Linked DNA regions of Saccharomyces cerevisiae S288C. The main gene of each other region encodes a partner of the protein of the gene in region 3 in a complex. Each region holds a gene or a part of one and is shown on either strand. Other genes may lie near its edges.

Region 1 (3,058 bases), on a different chromosome or scaffold from region 3:
GTTGTTTCAATATCTTCTTGACCTGTCATGAAAATGAGAATATCACCGCTTGAACAATCGTTTGCTAAATGAATTTTCACAGCCTGAGAAACTGCAGCTTCTACGTAGTCTTGAACAGGGTTGGAAGTATATATGGTCTGTACGGGGAAAGTTCTTCCAGGAATTGTGAACTGAGGAGCATTACCAAAAAATGCGGAGAACTTCTTCGCATTCATTGTTGCTGAAGTGATTATGAGTTTTAGATCTCTTCTACGTGCTAATAAAATCTTGAAAAAACCTAGTAAAATGTCTGTATTTAATGACCTTTCATGAGCTTCATCAATAATAACACACGAATATTTATCGAGTGTATCATCCAATAAGGTCTCTCTGAGTAGAATACCATCCGTTACAAACTTAAGTTTTGTACACTCAGAATCCGTCACATCTTCAAACCTTATAGAATAGCCTACTTCCTTACCCAATGGAACTTGCATTTCCATTGCAACCCTTTTTGCAACGGATATGGCTGCTACTCTTCTCGGCTGTGTGACAACAATAGATTTCCCCCTATCGTTGGCATATCCTTCTTCATATAAATACTGTGCAAGTTGCGTGGTTTTACCTGAGCCCGTTTCACCAATTATCACCACTACTTGATTTTCTCTTATCAATGATAACAATTGAGATCTGCAGCGGAAAACAGGCAGTTGCTCTTTAGTATGTTTAATGTCATCTTTTGATGGCGTGAAAAGAGCTGTATCGTCGCAAATCTTTTGGTTGCTCTTATCTTTTGCTTTATTGTTATTCTCCAAGCCTAGTACTTCCCCCATGGCAGTGTTCAAAACAGTGGTGTTGTCTCGAGATTGTTGAATATGTTCCATGTTTATCCTTCTCAAGGCAACCAGCTTACTACCTCGTTTGGCGTTCGCAGAAAATTCACTGTCAGGATTCCTAAATGGATTCACCATTGATAAAGCGGATACTTGGCTGGACGTCTCAGAGATGGACCCGATAATTATGGAAGTGGGCACTTTGTTTTCAAGAGCAAACTTTGATAAAAAAGGAGGGATCCATTCCATTCTTTGCTTGAGTGGTATGGGGTATAATTGAACGGTATTTCGTAAGGCATCATCGTTGTCGATATTCCTAATGACAGGTAGTAGTTTCGCTTCCTCAGGCAATTCAGACAGAGGTTCAGGCACCAAATTTCCATAATCATCATCATTATCATACCATTCTCTGTCCTCCTCAACTACTTCGCTTCGAGTCGGTTCATAGTCCTTCGTTTCAGCATGACCATTCTGTGTTTGCTGTTCACTATTTGGAGAAGGATCCTTCACGGTGGGCGAATACTGCCTCAACTGTTTGGCCTTTAGTTTATCTATTCTCTTGAACAACGTCCGTGTAGGTGCTGGTTTTTTTTGAACTGGAGAATCTAGCTCATCTTCATTATCGTCAAGGTCTAACTGGATCTTAAATTTCTTTCTCTTATTTATAGAAGGGGCGATTTTCTTTGGGCCTGTCGAGTCCTCTTCAGATTTATTCTTGAGGAGCTCCAGAAGTTCATTAAAAATGATTGGATTGTTACTGCTGAGTTTCGTCAAAGCTTTACAGCTGGCAATAAACTGTTCTAGATTAGTATTCGGCTTTTGCGCTAGTTTCTGCAGTGTCAAAAGCAACCCAGGCGTTAGTTCTTTTGACGTAAGTTCCTTAAATATGTCTTTTATCCTTTCCTCACGCCCCGAATGACCCATACCAGAGGTATTTGTATTGTCTTTGGGCCTTCTTGTGTTTTATCATCTGCAGTCATCTCATGAATTTTTCAGCTTTCACCGCTTTTATTATTTGAGAAAATAGAAAAGAGGGCAAAAAGAGATACTTTCAACAAGTTAAAATGGAAAATTAAAGACAAAGTAAAATAGCACAAGAATGATTGGCAGAGGTGTGTGCTGCAGATCGTTCCACACTGCTGGATCTGCCTGGAAGCAATTTGGATTTCCCAAAACACAAGTGACAACGATTTACAACAAGACTAAGAGCGCATCTAACTATAAAGGGTATTTAAAGCACAGAGATGCTCCAGGAATGTACTATCAACCATCAGAATCCATCGCAACCGGATCTGTTAACAGTGAGACCATTCCACGTAGCTTTATGGCAGCCAGTGACCCTCGTAGAGGGCTTGACATGCCTGTTCAAAGCACTAAAGCGAAGCAGTGTCCAAATGTTCTCGTAGGTAAGAGCACAGTGAACGGCAAAACCTATCATCTGGGACCTCAAGAAATTGATGAGATCCGGAAGTTACGTCTTGACAATCCTCAAAAGTATACACGCAAATTTTTGGCTGCAAAATATGGCATTTCGCCATTATTTGTATCCATGGTCTCGAAACCTAGTGAACAACATGTACAAATTATGGAAAGTAGATTGCAAGAAATCCAATCACGCTGGAAGGAGAAGAGGCGTATAGCCAGAGAGGACCGTAAGCGTAGAAAACTCCTGTGGTACCAGGCGTGAATGCTATATAAATATAATAACAATCGTGTAAATACTACTCTATAAGTACTTCGTATTCATATATTGATCACAATGCACGGAGACGCCCATTAATGTGACTTGAATATACCACATGAAAGCTAACCAATAAGCAATTTAAAAAGAGTTAAGTACAGCTTGGAGACACCCAAAGGCTTCTGCTTCGACAACTATTGACTATCGAGATGGCTTACAGTGACTACAGCGATGGAGCAGACGACATGCCGGACTTTCACGACGAAGGTGAATTTGATGATTATTTGAATGACGATGAATATGATCTAATGAACGAGGTATTTCCTACTCTAAAGGCGCAGTTACAGGATTACCAAGGCTGGGATAATCTTTCACTTAAGCTAGCTTTGTTTGACAACAATTTCGATTTGGAAAGCACGCTGGCGGAATTGAAGAAAACTTTGAAGAAGAAGAAGACACCAAAGAAGCCAATTGCTGCTGCTAATGGGAGTGCGAATGTTACTCAAAAACTGGCAAACATCTCAATTTCGCAACAAAGGCCAAATGATCGGCTTCCAGACTGGCT
Region 2 (2,377 bases), on a different chromosome or scaffold from region 3:
CAATTTGAAATTTCAGGCTCACCTCTATCATTATCAAGACCTGCATTTTCTGGATGAACATTCTTATACCCAACAGAGTATAGTGAAATAGCCCTCATATCCAATGAGTTATGGAGTTGTGCCATTTTATCTACGAGTTCAGACTGTTCTTCATTAGCATGAAATTTTTCAGGAACGGGGCTCTCAGGTTGATCTTTACCATATTTTTCAATATTCCCGCCTTCTTCGTCATCTGCACCTTCTTCGCCATCACGGACCTTGGAAAACTTATATGAAGTGCTGCACCCAATGACGGTCTTTGCCCTGTTTCTATAGTGCACTGGTTTGGATGTCATAGATAAATATGGTGTGTCGAACGGCTGGGAATTAAAATCACCACAGAAAAAAGGAAACCAATGAGATAAATCCCCATCATTTTCGTTCTGTAAAACATTCACACGATGCATGAATTCCTTCATCTTTTTTAAAACAATATAGCATTGTCTTGTTCGTTCATAAGTACCAAATGGATGCCAAAATAGATGCGTAGTGCCGATCAAGATACCGCATTTTTTAGACGATTTTTTACCCAAATTCGACAGTACTTTCTCAGAAAACTTCAAGGCTAAGACTAATCCCACGTTGTTTGTCGTTGTTCTAGTGGAAATGCTTTCTGAACTTTCTTTATCATAGTCGATTAGCATTTTGTCAACCTGGTGAAATAATTCTCTCCTCCACATTATCGCGACACCATGGTTTTTTGTAGCATTTCTATAATATTGTCCATCGTATCCCAATTTACTGAATTCATCTTTCCAAAAGCTTTGAAACTGAATATGATCAATCTCTTGCAAACAAATGACATCGGAATTATAATATTTAAACTCGTTTAAGAGAACTTTAGAACGCCTGTACCATTTTAAAGCGTCACCACTATCCGGGAACAGCTTTCTGCGGATTAGAGCTTGCGCCAAGCAATTATAAGTCATTAGCTTGAATCTAAATCCAGTTACTGGCTCTGCCTCATGTAGAGATAGGAAAGGTCTTCTGATAAAATGCAGCTCTGGCGGGCAGTCCGGATCAACACCTTGAGCCAACATTGCATCTCTTTTAGCCTTTCTCATAACTTCCCTTTCGGCACGAACCTTAGCGATATGTTCTGGGGTCACTATGGGCTTCGATTTTTTACCTTTCTTGCCCTTCTTTTTATGTTGAAGTAACGAATCATCATTGGTTTGATGTTTTGCATCTTTTACAGATTTATTAATTTCTACTTCTTGGTCGGGCGCAACATCTGGGGCAACCACTTTGACTTCTTTGTCTTGTGTCATATTTACTTAATACTCTTAACTACAATTAAGAAGCTATAAGGAGACTACAATCTCATCTTCTTGCAACACTACTTTTCCTTTCCTCTTGCTTTAGTGCAACCATTTTTTGAAAAATGAATGGTCTTTCTGCACGAAATATCTCTCGAAGAGCTTTTCTAGATATTAAGGATAAAGTATATCATCCCAAAAGTTAGGTGATGGAATCAATATTGATGGACCAGCTAAAACACGTTGAAAGCAGATATCAGGAATGGTGTTTTACAAAGTCACGTTGAGTAGGTCGCTTATCGGTGTGCCACACACAACGAAGAGCATTGTCAAAAGTTTGGGTTTAGGTAAAAGAGGGTCCATAGTCTACAAAAAAGTAAACCCGGCCATAGCTGGCTCCCTAGCTAAAGTAAAAGAGTTAGTCAAAGTAGAAGTAACAGAACATGAATTAACACCATCGCAGCAACGAGAGTTGAGAAAGTCAAACCCTGGGTTTATAGTGGAGAAGAGAACCATCGACTGAAACAGCGAAAATAAGGCAACTGGATTTCCTTTCTTCTTGATATTCCTGACTTATATATGTATATAGTATTATTTTTTCCTGCATAGGCACATATGTTAATAGTAATTTATGCAATTTTTGATACAAAGAAATCAATACACTATCTCGATTTCATATTTTATGTATGTATATATTTACAAGAAGAAAATTATGCATGGTCTATTGAATTTTATATTTGGAAAAAGAGTCCCTTTTTATAGCTTTTCCAACTCTAACATTCCTTCTAAACAGTCAATTTTTGAAATTTTACAATTCTTCACGATATCTCCAATCATCGGATAATGCATAGAACTTGGATGCAATTTTAATGTTCCTCTAGCGAACGATAAGTCTGGAAAAACACATCCAGTAAATCCGTTCTGCGGTACTGATGTTACCATTACATCGAAAGTCCTTTCTGGCTCTAGTTTGGTTAGCTTTTTTAAATAATTCAGTGTCCAGTACGTCGACGAATTACGGCTAGCCCTTTTTAAAATATCCGCTCGAGATTGAATTGGCCAGATCAAACTGTCGATTT
Region 3 (3,189 bases):
AAAACTTCCTTTGCAAAAACTCGCTTAGCCACATCGAAATCGGAGCAATATTTACTTTGAAACATTGTAATGTCGTTTCCAGGTGATCGGGAGTATTCTTTATGGTGTAAATATGAAGCGCATAACTGATAGAGCTCAACACTTTTAGAATTATATGGATTTCAATATTCTCCAACTTTCCAAAATTTTCACTTTCGATTACTTCGGCTAAATATTGCAATTGAGAGGAAAGAGCCGCCAAATGTGGTTGTGCAAATGGCTCATATATTTGGTAAAATTTCTTTAGCAATTTATTTTGATATAATTCCTCCTGTAAAGTGTTCACTTTTAGTTCAAGACTTTGAAATTTGTGAGATGTTTTGGCTTCAATAGATTCCAATGTTGCTTTTAATCTTGAATTTTCTTCGATATATGTGCCTGCTATCTCCTTTTCATTTTCCAATGCAGATTGCAAATTACTTAATTGCAGTCTCAGTTCTTGCTCGAGTTGCTCATAGGTAATTCTTAAATTTTCATCCAATTTTTCTTTTGCCTGTAGTTCCTCCAACTCATTGTTTAAAGCCTTTATATTACTTGTGAGTAGGATATTATCATTAGTCAATTTATCAACAATATTAGATGATTTACTTTGAGCTTCAATCTGCAAGGCAAGGTCGCCGATTGTATTATTAGTCTGTTGCAATTGCAGACCTAAATCCGATATTTTTTTAGATAATACTGCATTTTCTTCTAATAACTGAGTATTCTCCTCGAGCAGGTCCTCTTGCACCTTCATAGCTTTATCATATGACAACTTTGTTTGGTCGAGTAGTCCCTGAAGAAGATGGCTCCTTTCTAACAGTGTGCCTTTGTCGAGATCCGGTGCCATTACACTATCTGAAGCATCTAATAGGTGATTGAAATTATCCAAATGAGTTTTCATATTACCATTTTCCACTTTCAGTTCTTTGACTAGTTTATCCAATCTTGAGATTTTAGACAATAGAACAGTTTCATTAGTACTCAGCTTTTCAACGGAAGTTTTCAGCTCATGATTTTCTATTTTAATTTTATTTAATTTGGACGCCAATGATTCACATTTTACTTGTAGATTCTTAATTGTTTCTTGCGCTGCATTACCATTTAGCAAACTATGCTCATCGTCATCTGGTTTATAAAACTGCAACGTATCTTTCTTGCAGAAAAGACCATAATAACCACCATTTGAATTAGCTTTCTTCAGGTCGATATCAAAGTAACGAATACCGTTAGCGCTTCCATCATTCTTTCCTAACGGTTTATCTAGTTCAATGCCGTACCATATGCCTTTTGCAAATTGAGTTTCCCCAATGAATTTCACCCGCCCCTTCATCTCGTTGACTAGAACTGTGTCCTGTAAGCTTATCTTCTGCATATTTGTGTCAACTTGAACACCTGCATTGCGCATTTGTCCAAGGCTGTACTGCGAGGTTGATGGAGATCGAATCTAGAATAGTATTATGTACTTTGCAAAAGTAAAGTACAACATAAAGTCTAGCAGCATATGAGTAACTCTCTACAGTTACGCCAACAATCTCAGTGTGGAGGTTAGAGTAAAAAGAAAGCACCTTACAACTGTACGTTTACATAAGTGACTTTTCAACATATATGCATTTTTTGTTAAGCATTGTAAAATACCCGGTTGAAAAGCGACATGAAAAATAACGACATGTTAGATTCAAAAGTACCTACTGCTCTTTAACAGCTACTTAAGGATTACCTGATAAGAGTAATCCACCGTAAAGAACATTATCAGCAACAAAATTTGTAATCCATCATGTCTGGAAGCTATCAACATTTATCAAACGTTGGATCGCGTGTTATGAAAAGATTGGGGAATCGACCCAAAAACTTTCTTCCTCATAGTGAAAAGTTCATTAAAAAATCTACGCCTGAGTTCATGAAGTCAGATTTAAAGGAAGTAGATGAGAAAACTAGTTTCAAGAGTGAAAAAGAATGGAAGTTTATACCTGGCGACAGAGTAGTAGTAATGAGCGGGGCTTCCAAAGGAAATATAGCTGTAATTAAATCTTTCGATAAAAGAACAAATTCATTCATATTAGATGAGAATGGGCCCACAAAGACTGTTCCAGTTCCTAAACAATTCTGGCTTGAAGGCCAAACATCTCACATGATAACAATTCCAGTTTCAATTTTGGGAAAGGATTTAAGGCTAGTTGCTGATATTGACGATGAAAAGACCCCAGGAAAGACAAGAACGGTGGCAGTAAGGGATGTTTCCTTCAATGGTTCCTACTATGATGCAGACTACAAAAAGGTAATGCCATATAGATGCGTAAAGGGTCAACCAGACTTGATCATTCCATGGCCTAAACCAGACCCAATTGATGTGCAAACGAACTTGGCTACCGATCCTGTAATTGCTAGAGAACAAACATTTTGGGTCGATTCCGTAGTGAGAAACCCTATTCCAAAAAAGGCAATACCAAGTATTCGCAATCCTCATTCTAAGTACAAAAGGGGTACCTTGACAGCGAAAGATATAGCTAAGCTAGTAGCACCTGAGATGCCCCTAACAGAGGTAAGAAAAAGCCATTTGGCAGAAAAAAAGGAGTTGGCTGAGAGAGAAGTACCAAAACTAACTGAAGAGGACATGGAAGCTATTGGGGCGAGGGTTTTTGAATTTTTGGAAAAACAAAAAAGAGAATAAATGTACCAAGTGTATGCACTCTATTTTTATATTTGATTCTCTAGTGTGATTTTTTTAATCAGTATATCCCCTTCACTATTCACGTAGTAAATAAGTTATATTCGACCTGTATATATGAAAGCATAAAGTAAAGTTCAAAGAATATTCAGATATTGATGTGGGCAAACGTGATGACTTCAAATTACAAAATCTTTTCTTTAAAAATAAATTATGTGCGTATGTACATTATTTTTAACCAATAAAAGGGTTTAAATATTTATTTACAAGATTAATGACTGCCCTTTAAGCGTTGTCTCTTTATCTCATTGTACTAATGCTAAAATCGTTCCTGTGGTCGCTTTGCTTCACCAGGATATATCCAATCCCAGCGGCCTTTTTTATGTATAATGGCTAGGATTAGAATTGCCGGTAGGTGCAATACACTAGCCATAAAAGTTTTCCTTGCATAAATGTTGGCTACACTTAGACCTTTATTAAACTTGACGTTATCTTTTAATGTT
Region 4 (2,789 bases), on a different chromosome or scaffold from region 3:
AGAAATTGGAAGGTACAGCATTTCATTTACTCACTTATTTGATCTTTTCTTTTGTTTTCTGGTAAACATCTTTGTTTTAAATGGGCTCTCTACAACAAAACATGAAAAGTACTCAAGAAAAAAAATCTTTATTAGCGTTGGAATCAAAAAATATATAGCATTAGCAGAACGTTAAAGAGGATATTTGGTTTCTAGTCTAAATGGTGTTCCCTTTTCGAAACTGTATAAAATGAAAGGTAAGGTTCGAACTTCTGTGGCCTTACTTATTGCGTTCATATTCCGTGAAACTAGTATATATTAAAGGTTGCAAGCCAAGAGTTTCATTGAACACCAAAATGTTTACCAAGCAAGAACACGTCACCGCATTAATAACCAATATAAATTTCATTTAAGTTATTTTCATAGGATATTTACAAGGTATTCCCTATAAAGTATAAGAAAAGATACATGTCATAAAAAAAATTACGAAAATGAGTACGAAAATAACTGAAATCCTGAAGTTATTTGATTTTCTTGTCCTTTAGCTTTATTGTTTCATCGTTAACGTATATTCCTTTGCCTTTATACGGCTCTGGTGGATGGAATTTTCTCAATTTGGCAGCAAAAAGAAGGACCTGCTGCTTATTGCACCCTTCAATAATCAGAGACGTGGGAGCAGGTGTTTTGACAACAATACCTTCAGGAACGTCCAATCCTTGTTTGATAGATGCACCCACCTTAACGTTGACAAATTTACCATCATTTTCTAATTGAGCTCTATAACCTGTCCCTACAAATCTAAGGACAGCAAGATGCCCCTCAGTAACACCTATAATGTGATTATTTATAAGTGATCTTACTGTACCCCACATCGAACGTTGATGTTTATCTTCTGAATTCTGAACTGTAACATTTATTTTACCGTGCTTTTCATCCTTGTCCAAGTGCAAAAAATCAGGGACCTCCACGGACAATTCACCCTTGGGTCCCTTTACTGTGATATTCTGTGATATATTCATTGAAGTTCTACCTTTTCTGATAATCCTGGGCATGGATAATGCATTTATGGAAACCTGAACTTCAGGAGATATATAAAGTGGTAAAGACCCCACTTGAGAGCGCAGAAAAAGTGTTTGCGACAATAACCTCCTCTGAATAAATGACATAGGTTGGCCTCAATTCCTATAGTAAGATTTGCGATAGCTTTATTGCGTGATCTTCCCTTACTTACTAGTATTTGATATTCTTCCTCTATAACCGTAGCGTCTCCTCGCTATTTCCGCTCGCCTTTCATTACCCTCTACTTCCAGTGAAAAAAATTTCACTGATATAAGCTCATCGCAACAAAAATTCAATGGGATAAGTAATATAGAACGTTCTAAATAGATAAACCACCAGGCATAATCACAACCAATAATGGTTAGAAAACTAAAGCATCATGAGCAAAAGTTATTGAAAAAAGTAGACTTCCTTGAATGGAAGCAGGACCAAGGCCACCGGGACACTCAGGTCATGAGAACATATCATATTCAGAATCGTGAAGATTATCATAAATACAATAGGATATGCGGTGATATTCGTCGTCTTGCCAATAAATTATCATTATTACCTCCCACTGATCCATTTCGTCGCAAACATGAGCAATTATTACTGGACAAGCTATACGCTATGGGTGTCCTGACAACTAAATCAAAGATTTCTGATCTGGAAAATAAAGTTACTGTTAGTGCCATCTGTAGGAGGCGATTACCTGTAATAATGCATAGATTAAAAATGGCGGAAACTATACAAGATGCAGTCAAGTTCATTGAACAAGGGCATGTTCGCGTGGGTCCAAATTTGATCAACGATCCAGCCTACCTCGTAACGAGAAATATGGAGGACTACGTTACTTGGGTGGACAACTCTAAGATCAAGAAAACCTTGTTGAGATACAGAAACCAAATCGACGATTTTGATTTTTCATAAATTGACTACAAACTTACGTTTTCTGTATCAATACTCGATTTATCATCTTCCTACATTGTGAAATTATTACGAATAGGCAACGAGGCAGCAAATACAAATGATGTGAGGCGCCTGAGCTTTCTTAAAAGCTGGAAGCATGAAAAATTGTTATATACACAAAGGAACTTCTTCGTCGTATGCAAAAATAAGAAAAACCGCAAAACAATTTCTCATCGGCGTCATTTGTTAAATATGCCTTAAAACTTAAAAATACACTTCGAAAAAATCCTATTTAACATAAATTAATTTGTATAAATACGCAATTTGTAAAATTTCTCCAATAAAACATCAATTTATATATCCGATAATTGTCCGTTCATTATCTACACTTCAGTTGACGGTATAATTATGTGAAGAGCCTAATTGTTTTCTTAAATCGTCCTGTGAACCACTATGTGGCAAAATTCCACCAACACTTGGTGGCTGTACAACATCTGTCTCTTCTAATATCCCACTAACACGAGAATTATACAGTTGCTGCTGCTGCTGTTGCAGATAGATATTATTTTGTGTGGTCAGACTGTTATTTCTTGAATTGGTTGCGCTTACACTTCTGAAAGAACCTGCTGGCTTATAAGATGGTTTTGCCGTCAAATCCGAAGGATTGGTCATTACCACACTTTGTCTAAGTTGATAAGGTGAAGGAACCGCCCCATTTTCGTTAAACTTCATATATTGGCCTTGCTGCTGTGGAGCATAATAGGCATCGTTTGTCGGTGAATAAAACATTTCCGGATGATCGACCGGATTTAACGCAGTTCCGTTTAGTCTGGCAGTCTGTAATTGAAGAAGTTGTTGCTTGT

The links.
Region 1: MRPL40 (region 3) and MRPL20 share a complex: the UniProt entries of both Saccharomyces cerevisiae proteins name them as parts of the mitochondrial large ribosomal subunit.
Region 2: MRPL40 (region 3) and MRPL33 share a complex: the UniProt entries of both Saccharomyces cerevisiae proteins name them as parts of the mitochondrial large ribosomal subunit.
Region 4: MRPL40 (region 3) and MRPL6 share a complex: the UniProt entries of both Saccharomyces cerevisiae proteins name them as parts of the mitochondrial large ribosomal subunit.

The regions. Positions count from the first base shown.
Region 1 is NC_001143.9:598,535-601,592, reverse strand, and holds MRPL20 (mitochondrial 54S ribosomal protein mL58 MRPL20), read left to right. Parts: upstream 1-1,911; coding exon 1,912-2,499; downstream 2,500-3,058. Other genes in the region: DEAH-box RNA helicase PRP16, read right to left, coding at 1-1,736; ribosome dissociation factor GTPase HBS1, read left to right, coding at 2,703-3,058. UniProt on the Saccharomyces cerevisiae protein: Component of the mitochondrial ribosome (mitoribosome), a dedicated translation machinery responsible for the synthesis of mitochondrial genome-encoded proteins, including at least some of the essential transmembrane subunits of the mitochondrial respiratory chain.
Region 2 is NC_001145.3:840,382-842,758, forward strand, and holds MRPL33 (mitochondrial 54S ribosomal protein uL30m MRPL33), read left to right. Parts: upstream 1-1,560; coding exon 1,561-1,821; downstream 1,822-2,377. Other genes in the region: NGL2 (RNA exonuclease), read right to left, coding at 1-1,310; DSS1 (exoribonuclease II), read right to left, coding at 2,055-2,377. UniProt on the Saccharomyces cerevisiae protein: Component of the mitochondrial ribosome (mitoribosome), a dedicated translation machinery responsible for the synthesis of mitochondrial genome-encoded proteins, including at least some of the essential transmembrane subunits of the mitochondrial respiratory chain.
Region 3 is NC_001148.4:221,348-224,536, forward strand, and holds MRPL40 (mitochondrial 54S ribosomal protein uL24m MRPL40), read left to right. Parts: upstream 1-1,795; coding exon 1,796-2,689; downstream 2,690-3,189. Other genes in the region: NIP100 (Nip100p), read right to left, coding at 1-1,426; COX10 (protoheme IX farnesyltransferase), read right to left, coding at 3,006-3,189. UniProt on the Saccharomyces cerevisiae protein: Component of the mitochondrial ribosome (mitoribosome), a dedicated translation machinery responsible for the synthesis of mitochondrial genome-encoded proteins, including at least some of the essential transmembrane subunits of the mitochondrial respiratory chain.
Region 4 is NC_001140.6:392,139-394,927, forward strand, and holds MRPL6 (mitochondrial 54S ribosomal protein uL6m MRPL6), read right to left. Parts: upstream 1,146-2,789; coding exon 501-1,145; downstream 1-500. Other genes in the region: snoRNA-binding rRNA-processing protein IMP3, read left to right, coding at 1,396-1,947; SKG6 (Skg6p), read right to left, coding at 2,317-2,789. UniProt on the Saccharomyces cerevisiae protein: Component of the mitochondrial ribosome (mitoribosome), a dedicated translation machinery responsible for the synthesis of mitochondrial genome-encoded proteins, including at least some of the essential transmembrane subunits of the mitochondrial respiratory chain.